3 linked regions of the Danio rerio genome follow. The protein of the gene in region 2 binds, or shares a complex with, the protein of the main gene of each other region. Links are inferred from orthologs where the notes say so. Each region holds a gene or a part of one and is shown on either strand. Other genes may lie near its edges.

The links.
Region 1: the proteins of sike1 (region 2) and strn3 are in contact, whole or in part, in a crystal structure (PDB 6AKL), measured with the Homo sapiens proteins. The link is inferred for Danio rerio from reciprocal best matches to the Homo sapiens genes SIKE1 and STRN3. Residues at the interface, in NP_079349.2 of Homo sapiens: Glu96, His97, Ala100, Leu103, Ile104, Ser106, Lys107; in NP_001077362.1 of Homo sapiens: Arg176, Leu179, Tyr182, Leu183, Val186, Tyr188.
Region 3: the proteins of sike1 (region 2) and slmapa are in contact, whole or in part, in a crystal structure (PDB 6AKM), measured with the Homo sapiens proteins. The link is inferred for Danio rerio from reciprocal best matches to the Homo sapiens genes SIKE1 and SLMAP. Residues at the interface, in NP_079349.2 of Homo sapiens: Ile5, Ile8, Leu9, Ala12, Lys13, Leu16, Leu19, Arg20, His22, Asp23, Ala26, Glu27, Leu29, Val30, Ser33, Ala34, Leu36, His37, Val40, Met43, Arg44; in NP_001291349.1 of Homo sapiens: Leu168, Tyr171, Leu172, Glu174, Ala175, Arg178, Glu179, Met181, Leu182, Lys185, Thr188, Leu189, Leu192, Leu193, Ile195, Thr196, Ala199, Ser200, Thr202, Ser203.

What each region holds. Positions count from the first base shown.
Region 1 is NC_133192.1:30,183,694-30,187,999, reverse strand, and holds the start of strn3 (striatin-3), read right to left. Parts: upstream 2,806-4,306; coding exon 2,578-2,805; intron 2,199-2,577; exon of another isoform or gene 2,069-2,198; intron 1-2,068. UniProt on the Homo sapiens protein: Calmodulin-binding scaffolding protein which is the center of the striatin-interacting phosphatase and kinase (STRIPAK) complexes.
Region 2 is NC_133198.1:43,061,725-43,064,957, forward strand, and holds part of sike1 (suppressor of IKBKE 1), read right to left. Parts: intron 675-3,233; coding exon 561-674; 3' UTR 1-560.
Region 3 is NC_133186.1:44,735,243-44,739,572, forward strand, and holds the start of slmapa (sarcolemma associated protein a), read right to left. Parts: upstream 2,826-4,330; 5' UTR 1,635-2,825; coding exon 1,437-1,634; intron 1-1,436. UniProt on the Homo sapiens protein: Associates with the striatin-interacting phosphatase and kinase (STRIPAK) core complex, forming the extended (SIKE1:SLMAP)STRIPAK complex.

The sequences.
Region 1 (4,306 bases), on a different chromosome or scaffold from region 2:
TTTTGATTTTCCAACATAAAAGTCCCTCAAATAATACTTCTATCTATATACTTTCACAGATGACCTAGGAAGTCATTCATACGTAGAATTCAGTAGTATGACCTGTAAATTGGGTATCTCACCATTTGAAAGAGAAGAGGATTTACAGACATTCAAAAAAGTTTCAAATGTAGGATTGGTTAGAGATGTGCAATGAGCCATTATGACTATGAAGATGGTGCTAGCATGACCTACAAACCCTGAGCTAACCCAGATAACAGCAATCAGGCCCGTTCCTGATGTGACTGCTCAGGACATCTCTGCTAAGAGCTATGCCTACTAGCCAAGCAAGCTGACAGGAAGAGTTTCACATCAATTAGATCCAGACACTATCAGAGTAGCACAGAACCACTATCCATTATAACATTAGCAACGTCTCCAGCACTGAAAAGCAGCACCTGGTAATGGACTTAAGCATCTGCATGCAAAGCTGGAGAATCAAAGCGCTCATATTTGGCAGCATGATTTGATTTGGTTCAACTTGCAGCATTTCGTTTGTGGTATGTACGGTATGCGTCTAATGGTTAGATGGCAAGTGAACCTCGGAAATATGGAATGCAAAGCAAATAAACAAGACCAACCCTCTTTTTAGGACCTGCATCGGTATGAGTGTGGGAGGGCTGACTTCCTCTAATGAAAAGTGCACATTAGTTTTGAGGTGGGAGTCATTCTGAAAGTATGTCACAAAACAAGTCTGTACAGGGGTAGTGAAGAGACTCCTCAGCCTCTGAAATGAAGACTGACTGTGTTTACATAATGCCAAGTCCTGCCAGCTCCTTTCCTCATTCACAAAAGCTACACTGCCGTCCACATCTCTAGTAGGCTGAACATATGACAGCTACACCCATTAATACGGGGAGAATGGAGATTTGGCTGTCATAACACACTCTTTCACCCAAAAATAAATCTGTCAAAGTGAGAGGCGAGCAAAAAATACAAAAGTCATGGGGGGAAAAAAGGACAGACAATGTTTGTTGGTAAATCAGTCATCACTCATTCGGTTTACATTATTCTTCATAGGCAAAAAAAACAAAAACATTTATCAAAATAGCTTGCGCCTCCACATAAAGAAACTCTTAATATGTTTAAAAAAAGGAGATGAACAAAGGATGACAGAACTTTAAATAAAATACTTTAAGAACAAGCGGACACTTCTTTTTTTTTTACTAACAAAACTGAAAACCATGGAAACTGTGGTTAAGCCATAGTTTAACCATAGTCTTTGAAGTAAAACTTTAGTTATGCAAATGTAATCAATGCAACAAAAACGTGGTGATGACACTTTTACAACAATAAAACCATGGTTATAATTTACTCAAGTAAACGTTACTGAATGTTACCTGTTAATTATTTGACTGCCAAAAACAACAATATTGTCTAAATGTTGTGTGCTGCACCTCCATGAAACAAACTATTTAACTGATAAAGGTATTTTCTAAATACAAATGCAGGTCAACTGTTAAAAGGTTTGTTATTCTGTCAAACGTGTTGTGTTTTTGTGTTATACAAAGTCTGTCATACAGGTGGAGATTAACATAGGGGTGAGTAAATAATGACAAAAAAAGATAGTGACAAGAGACTTATCCAAATGCCAATGATTCATCCAAAATACTGATCTGACCAGGAGCTAAACTAGTAAGTCTATCTGCTCATAGCGATCTTAAAGGAGAGTGAACCTAAAATGAACAGTGTCATCATTTACACACCCTCGTGTTGTTCCAAACCGGTTTAACACAGTTTGTTTGTCATATGTGTAACACAAGTACAAATATCAGTCAGAGTGTTCGCAACTCGCCTCAAACTCTATTCCCTTTAAATGCAACGTTATGTTTCATTAACGAACGTAAATAGTGACCGTCGCTGTCATCCAGCATTTTTATGATAACTAGTTTTTGCTGATCAGAAAGCCCTTAATGTTCTTTTGAATCTTATAAAAGATGCAGTGTGTAAAACATACTAAAATTGAAGCAGGGTGTGAAAGTGAGCCCCAGTAGGATGGATCAATAAAAAAGCGACCCATACGGACGCCATATTGACCAAAACAAAATGGCAGAACAAGAGAATAGTTGACAAAGTCTGCTGGCTTTCATTGACAGATGCGTCCCGTGACACAATAAATCCGCAACAAACAACTATTAGATCTGCTTCTGTGATCGTGGGTAAGATAATCTGAATCCATCGTAGCGGGTGTCGCGTATTATCGCCAATACAGCGATGTCATGTTAGCTTAGCTTAGCACATCCACACTAGGAACGAGTAAGCGACTCGACTTACTAGATTGCTGTTTTACAATATAGGCATGCTAAATACATATGTCTCGCATGTTTCAAATGAAGAAAGGTTTGTTTATTGACACAACTGCTAGTGTTGAAATTTTGTGTAAACAGGGTGGACAGGAAGCTTGCGAGATGTATGGTAAAATGCTTAGCAATTCAGCCTCAAGCTTTTAATTAAAGCAACCGACGAGTTGTCGGTCGATGCCCCGATTTGGGGTTTCCAATCAGTGTGTCAGCAAAATCCAAAAGTCTACAACGTTACCTGGAGCTCGGCCCTCTCCACTTCCCAATGCGCCCTTTCCATCTCGAAACGGGCCCATTCGTGCTGGATGTAGTGTAAAATCCCCGGGATGGTGTACTGCTGGGGCCTGGGCATCTCGTCTTGCTGTTGCTGAACCATAGGCGCTCCTCCTGCGCTGTTCATCTGAGGATTAATGCTGTTGTTGCCCTGCTGCGGTGCGGGCTGCTGCTGCTGCCTCTGGGCGGCCATTCCTCCTCCTCCTCCTCCACCACCACCTCCTCCTCCTCCGGGCTGTTCATCCATGTTTAAAAATAGGAAAGTCCTGCTAGAAGTCGCCGATTGTTACCCCTCTACCCTCCCTTTTTTACCGTTCGCTTAGCGATGCGACGTCGCCCTGCCCCCAACCGAATAGGCTGGCACCTGAGCGGCTGTTGTGGATTTCGTGTCAGCGCACGGATTTGCCGGCCGCCATTAGTCCGATCCCTGGATGTGAGTCTCCTACTGCGGGGGTGAGCGAGCGAGTGAGGGAGGACTGGCGCGCGCGCTGCATGATGGGACGCGTTCACCCAGCCCTGCGCGCTCTCGAGTCATCCGAATCCAGACTGACGACGTACAGACTCTGCGCATGCGCTTTGTATCTATGATTTTTTTTACTTGATGAGGCGATAAAAATGTGTCGTTGACAATATCTATAGACGTATAGTACGGTTTGTGAAAGGAGAAGTGCTTGAAATAATCAATAGCATCCGTCGAGAATGTTGTTTATTGTTATAATTTAAAGGTGCTATTGGTTTAAGTTTAAATGTAAAATACAATTACAGCAAATTTTAATTGCAATCATTTTTTTAAAATTATAGCAGTTAATGTATATATGTATATATATATATATATATATATATATATATATATATATATATATATATATATATATATATATATATATATATATATATATATATATATATATATGTATGTTATATATATATATATATATATATATATATTAATGATTGAAAAACATTAACAACAAATGTCATCAATCAAACAACAATCCAGGAGTTTTTAGTCATTTAGTCCAAGATGTCAAGTCCTTGTTCGTATTGCTTTTAAGTTTGTTGATCCCTCAATAGACTCAAAATTCATTTTCATTTCATTTTTAAATTTACAAAAAAAAAAAAAAGTTTACACTTTCAAAGCTTGAAATTTGGCCAAAAAAAAAAAAGGTTTAAGAAATAATTAATATTTTCCTTTTTACATTCATGGAAACCAAAGACAACATTTTCATATGTAAAATGTTCCTTCACGTCTTTTATGAAATCAAGAACATCACACCAAAATGTCAGTGAATGAGGGCAATTCCAAAATAAATGAACAGAAATTTCAGGATTCACTAAGCAAAATGAAGAGTTGGTTTTGAAGTCTTTTAAGATTACACTTGTCTGGAAAGCAGAAACTTCTCTCATCTTGTTTGTTAAAAAGTGGGGTAATGACCAAACTCTCTTCCATGAAATATCATTTTCAAAACCATTGCAATATGACATTACATAAGGCACAGTAACAGAATCTTCTTGAAACAGGGCTTTTATTTTCTTATTGCATTTTGTATTAGATAAAGAAAGCCATAAATGTTTTCCAAAGGTTTAATGTTTACCAAAATGTTTACTTTTTTCCACAAAATTAATTACAGCAACTTATAAATGTTAAGTACACTTAAGACAAAAACGAAATGAAATGTTTTTCAGCATGTGTC
Region 2 (3,233 bases):
TACCTACACTCACTTTTTTATGCTGGACACAAAAGAAGATATTTTAAAGAATGTTGGAATCATGTAACCATTAACTTCCATTGTAAGAAATCAAACACAATGGAAGTCAATGGTTATCGGCTTCCAACATTTATCAAAACATCAAATCAATATAAAATTTTCAGCTGAACTATCCACAATCCCTCTAAACCTAGTGAATGTGAAGCTACAAATCAATTTAAGACCGAAAAAAGCTTATTTTAAAATTAAAAACACTTACATCTTTGGAAAATTCAAACATAAACAGAGAAAGAAATGATCTATAACACACATCTGCCTAACGATTCAAGAGTCTATTATTAAAAGCAAAGAGGTCATGGGTCTTTCCTGAACTAAAATATTAATAACTCTAATATTAAACATCAGAAAAAGTGCATGATCGGACATAAGAGAGCTAAAACCACCGCCAGGACAGTTCTGAAGGAAACTAGAAAACCCAATAGAGATATTAGTGTCAGTGGACACCAGGTCAGCTGACACACAAATGCACAAACTGCTGTCTAAAGTAACATTATCCTCCATTAGGACTCCTGTTTCTCCACAGTCTCAGATGTCGTCTCCGGTGGGTTTTTCTCCTCTCTGTGCTGCTTCACAGAGCTGATGGACAGCAGACCCCGGAGCTCCTTGTTTTCAATCTGCATCAACAAAAGGACGCATTAGATTAACATATGAAAGTGCATTTAGAGTGCAAATCACACACCAAGTGCTATATAACTATTTTATTTTGTCAAAAATTGTACTTCCAGATGGGGAGGGAGGGAGAGATGGATTGATAGATTTGAAGTCAGAATTATTAGCCCCTCTGAATTATTAACCCCCCTGCTTATTGTTTCCCCAATTTCTGTTTAACGGGGAGAAGATTTTATCAACACATATAGAAACATCATAGTTTTAATAAGTCATCTCTAATAACTGATTTATTTTATCTTTGCCATGGTGACAGTAAATAATATTTGACTTCAAGTATTTAAGACGGCTTAAAGTGACATTTTTAGGCTTAACTAGGTTAATAAGGTTAACTAGGTAGGTTAGGGTAACTAAGCAAGTTATTGTGTAGTGGTTTGTTCTGTAGACTGTCGGGAAAAAAAATAGCTTAAAGGGGCTAATAATTTTGTCCTTAAAATGGCTTTTATAAAATTAAAAACTGCTTTTATTCTAGCCGAAATAAAACAGATAAGACTTTTTCCAGAAGAAAAAATATTATCAGACATACTGTGAAAATTTCCTTGCTCTGTTAAACATCATTTGGGAAATATAAAAAAAAAAGAAAAAAAAATCAAAGGGGGGCGAATAATTCTGACTTCAACTGTAGATAGATAGATAGATAGATAGATAGATAGATAGATAGATAGATGGATGGATGGATGGATGGATGGATGGATGGATGGATGGATGGATGGATGGATGGATGGATGAATGGATGGATAGATAGACAGATAGACAGATAGATAGATAGATGGATAGATAGCTCATTTATTGAGCAACTAAGATTAAAACTGTTAAAAATATATAACAAAAAAAAAAAGATAACTAAAATTAATAAAATTAAAAATTAACAAATAAATGAAAACTTAAACTGTAATTTTAACAGTCACTGATAAACTGACTGAAATAAAACACGTGATATATGTACAGGGTTCTTACACCTTTTCCAACTTCATGTGCATTGCTATTCAAAATTCCTGTAACAACAACTTAAATCCCTAATGTAGAATATAATATTCTTGCTGCAAATTAATGAACTGTTCCTATGTCAACTGTTTGGAAACCATAATTTGTCATCTTTCATCAATATTACTTTATTCAAAATATCTTATATCTTATATTTAGTATTTTTACAGGCATTGCAGGCTTTGTTTACTGCTGCAAGTTGACATGTCAACTGTTTTAAACTATTCCTGAGCACTGCGTTTGGCGTTTTTATGTGCAAATATGCATTCTGTGTGAACCTAAATCTCCTAAATCTGGTAAACAAATTTCGAGCCCTGCAATTTCAAATTCAAGCACTTTTAAAAGTCACTATTAAAAAACACTATTAAAAATCAAGCATTTTCCAAGATTTCCAGAACCCGTACGAACCCTGTAAGTAGTTGGAGTGGTTTATTAACTCGCCCTCGCCCCATTTGCAATATTATTCTACAGCGACATAGTGCATAGGCCAAATCATTTTGACACCCTTAGCGGTGTCAGTTTAGTGTATGCTTCAAACTATTATTTAAAGAAAAAAGCATGAATAAATCTAATATGACATGATAATCTTTTTTTATTTTGATAATTGTTTTTCATAGTCGGTGGAGGCCAAAATCAAAAGTGAAACTTTCTTAATTGAACAGATCTACTTCCTTATTGCTTCTAGTCTTTAGAAAGTTTTTTTTTCATGGCTCTATTTGACGTCATTGATGTTTTAAAGAGTTTTACCATTTTTTAATCCATTTAGCTGATTTCTGGGTCTGCTGGGAGCCCTTTTAGAGTAGCTTAGCATAGATCATTGAATTGGATTAGACCGTAAGCATCTCACTTAAAATTGACTGAAGAGTTTTGATAATTTTGCAATTCAAACCTTGATTTTTTTCTGTAGTTCTATCATGGACTAAGATTAACAGAAAAAAAAAAATCATTTTTTTTTAGCCTTTTATAACCAAGGACTATACTCTCATTCTGTTGTAATAATCAAAGAGCTGCCATACTTTGGCTCCAGCAGACACAATGACATTATGCAGCACCTGAAAATAGTCCCCATCTAGGTAACTTCCAACATGATCACCTACCTAATTTTCTTCCTTCAAAACACTGCATTTCCATTGGTCAAAGTTGCTGGAGTAGTGTGGATGCTACTTGTAATCATAACAAAACTTATGCGTCATAAGACTTTTATTACAAACATACTCTAGTGTAATGCCTAGTTCAGACTGTGTGATTTCAGCCCCGATTTTGGCTCGCCGACAGGTTTTGAGAAATCGCAGACAAATGCCTGAAATCACAGGCAAATCGGTGCTGTGAGTGACAATCACACAGTATGAACTATCAAAGACGCAATCTGAAAGAATCGCCGATGAGTCGCCGATGCCTGTGAGATATTTGGCGTGCTGAATATCTGGAGCTGTCTGCGAATCAAATCATTCCGTGTGAATTGAGTTTTTACTGAAAATAACATCAGCGATCGCCTACAGCCAATGAGAGAGCGGCATTCACTT
Region 3 (4,330 bases), on a different chromosome or scaffold from region 2:
AGTTTTAAGAAAAAGCTAATATATTTACTATATAACACAGGGGTGTCAATTTCAGTTCCTGGAGGGACGTTGACCTGCAGTCTAGTTCCAAACCTGCTTCAACACTCTTACCTGTGTGTTTCAAACAAGCCTAAAGAATTCAATTAGTTTCATCAGGTGTGTTTAATTAGGGTTGCACTAAACTGTGCAGAGCTGCGGCCCTCAAGGAACTGAGTTTGACACCTGTGATCTAATGCAGTGTTTCTCAACCACATTACTGGAGGACCACCAGCTCTGCACATGTTCCTAGACTGTCTCTTAATTCCTAGAACGCTGAGAACAGAGAACGCATCCTGTGAGAAATGAGATGCTGTGTTCTTCCCTGGGTCTTCCTGATGGTGACGTGACCTTCACATGTTTTTAATGGAATATGGTTTAAACATTACAGCATTCCTACAACAACGATTTATTGTTTTCCCCCATACATAATATATACCATGCATAAAAAAAACGTACAAATATATGCTTCACAATACAAATAAAACTAATTTTAACACGAATTTCAACAAGTAAACACCCTTTATGTGCTTATGCCATTATTATGATTTACATGGTAATGTTTAAATTCACCGTCTCATTTAGGGAAACTCCTGAAGTAAATAAGTTACATCTCTAAACTTTAATAATAAATCTAAATAAAATGCTGCGCTTCCCACCTCCTTCATACAGCCACAACGACTTCTAGGACTTCTCAAGCAAGTTTTGTGCTCAAGTCTGCATCGATGACTCTACGATATCAAGAACACATCTGGCAACTTTCACGCGTCCTCCGTTCTTGCCGTCTTGAGTTTTGGAACTGAACATAGGCAGTTAATGACGACATTACAGAAGAACACGAGGACGCAGGATCGCTGAAAAACGCCTATTGAGAAACACCCCATGTTTCCTTAACCAAACACACCTGATTTAGATCATCAGCAGAGACTGAAAGACCTGTAATGAATGTAACAGATAAAGGAGACATCCAAAATATGCAGTGTTGGTGGTCCTACAGGAACGTGGTTGAGAAACACTGATCTAATGCAGTGGTATATTTAGCCATAAATTCCATCTTAATCTACTTTTGGGTGGGGATATTATCTATATAATCCTAGTACAGACAATTGTGACAACATTGACAGATAGATACAAAGAAAATCTTAATAATTCAAGAAAGATGGAGGTGGATATGTCAAACACTGAAAAAAATATTCATTGGACTTACTAACTTTTTTGAGGCAAGTGGTTGCAAACAATTTATATAGACTGAATTTAAACAAACTAAATGTAGTAACGTTTATTTGTTTAAATTCAGCTCATGCTAATTTTTGCAACCACTTACCTTAAAAAAAATAAGTACATCTAATGAATAATGTTTATAGTTAACATCCAATCTATTGGTGAAACATCAGACTTACCTTGCCTGTCTTGTGGTCGAACCATACCAGAGCGTGATTCCTCGACAACACTTTGCAGTCGAAGGTGGCGTTGTTTTGGGCAGGGCGACACCGGGCCACGGAGCGCCCGATCTTGACCGGCTCATCCAGGTAAACATGGCGTTCCTGAAACGGGTGTGAATTCGGGCGGCAGGAGAACACGGCCAGCGCTGAAGGCATTGAGGATGGCTTGGGAGTGTTACTCCAACCAGAGACGAAAGACAGGGTTTCTTGATCCAGACTGACCTGTTGCTCCAATTCTTCCTAATGAATGACCAGCAGACCAACGCACATAGTAATACGAAAAAAATTCCAACTCTACAAAAAGACCCCTGCTAAACCGACTACATAACGTCAACAAGACTGTATATTTATACACTATGTAGATGACTTCTTGCCCCCTTGCGAGACCCCCATGTTGCCGAACCAAACCCAATACAGCTGCCCAATTCCATACAAATCTGGGTGTCCAGATGACAGTCCACAATTCGAGCTGTTATACTTCGTTCCCAACACAATTCATCCTCGTCCCCCTTTACAAGCATAGGCCTGGCCAGTAAACAACCCAGCAACTAGTACACCAATAACCTGTTGAATTGGTCAACCTTTACTCCTAAAAAAAAAAAAGAAGTATTACTGTCAAGTTGACATGCGTGTCTATATTTAGAGGGAATGACTGCTAGGCACGAAATGCACTTGTGAAAATGTTAAACCGTAATGAAGATTAATAATAATGTGAGTGGGTTTGGCTGAAGTATGCAGAGCAGACCATCAAGCCACCACTCCCCAAGACAGAGTAATTAATATTGAAAAATACCTCAAATGCCTACTTAAACAGACTTCAAATGCAAGTATTTAGCTGTCAGGATTGTATACAAGAGCACAGCTCGCGCGGAGGGTGTTTTCTTGCGCACGAGAGCGTTAGCTGGCTAACTTCATATTAGCTTGTTAGCTTCGCTGAGGTAACACTGGCCTTCTACTTTCACCTTATCGAGCCGTCCAAGCTGGAAGAGACTTTATAAATAACCCCGAGCTGATTTATCCCCGAAAACCAGCTATTTGTTCGGTCTGTGGAACTTTCATGCGCGGAGAATTTGCGTAAATCCAGTATTAGCTCGCGAGCTCGGTAACTAGCTTAGCCTGCTGAGAGACACAAAAATTTCCCCAGAAAAGAAAGTCATACACGAATAAAGTCCATGACACGGTCCCGTGTTAAGCCATGGAGGTCTCCGCTTTTCGGAACGCTGAAATCGGGAGGGAAATCGTTGTGTGCGACGGGATAATTGGAAGTAAGTCGTCCTCTTGAAGAGATATACACACACATACACACCGGCCACAAACCGCCGCGGGGCTCGCGCACCACCGAGATATGGGGCGGGGCTTTGCGGTGACGCGAAAATGTAGGCGGATCCGCGTTTCCAGAGAAAAAGGATGACGTTTTTCATGCGGATTGAAAATAATGTTTGTTTGTTCATTTTTCGGATGCTATTTTTTTCTTTTGTAATAGCATTTCATTTACAATCAACAAGCAAGACAACAACAGGTAAAACAATTTGTTGAACAGACAAAAAAAGTATGGAGCCAGTCAGATCAGTCTCAAAAATAATACATGTACATAATAAAACTCCTCCATGCACAGCACAATTCACATTTACAACATCCAGTTTGTAAATTCAAAACACAACTTGTAAATACAACCAACAATTTGTAAATTCACAAGCAAAAATCATAAATACTTTCACCAAATTAATTAGATTTGTGTATTTTTGTATAGTGTTTTCAATTTACGAATTGGATTTGTGTATTTATGAATCACATTTTAAATTTACAAATTGAATTTGAGTAATTATAAATTGCATGTAAACTTATGAATTGGATTGAGTATTTTTGAATCGCGATTTGTATTTACGAATCTGATTTGTGTAAATGAATCGCATTTTCAGTTTATGAATTGGATTTGTGTATTTATGAATCGTGTTTTGAATTTACGAATTGGATTTGTGTATTTATGAATCATATTTTAAATTGACTAATTAGATTTGTGTATTTATGAACCACGTTTTGAATTTACCAATTGTATTTGTGTATTTATGAATCACGTTTTGAGTTGACGAATTGGATTTATGTATTTATGAATCACGTTTTGAATTTACGAATTGAATTTGTGTATGTATGAATCGCGTTTTGAATTGACGAATTGGATTTGTGTATTTATGAATCGCGTTTTGAACTCACAAATTAAATTTGTGTATTTATGAATCGCGTTTTGAACTTACGAATTAAATTTGTGTATTTATGAATCACATTTTAAATTTACCAATTGGATTTTTGTATTTATGAATCACGTTTTAAATTTACGAATTGTATTTGTGTATTTATGAATCGCATTTTGAGTTGACGGAATGTATTTGTGTATTTATGAATTACGTTTAGAATTTACGAATTGAATTTGTGTATTTATAAATCGTGTTTTGAATTGACAAGTTAGATTTGTGTATTTATGAGTCGCGTTTTGAATTGACGAATTGGATTTGTGTATTTATAAATCGCGATTTTAATTTATGGATTGGATTTGTGTATTTATGAATCATGTTTTCAATTTACAAGTTGGATTTGTTTATTAATGAATCTCGTTTAGAATTTATGAATTGGATTTTGTAACTGTAACTTGAGTTGTGAATATATGAATTATATTATTTAAATGTAATATTTTTGAGACCAATCTGGCTCTATAAAAAGGGCTCTAACAAATAAACACAACAAAGAACAACAAAAAAGTCATCATACAAATAAGAGATTCACATAAACAAATAAAAATTATAAACTAGTAAACAAACATATGGCCTGATAAACAAATACCATACTTTTTTAATTAA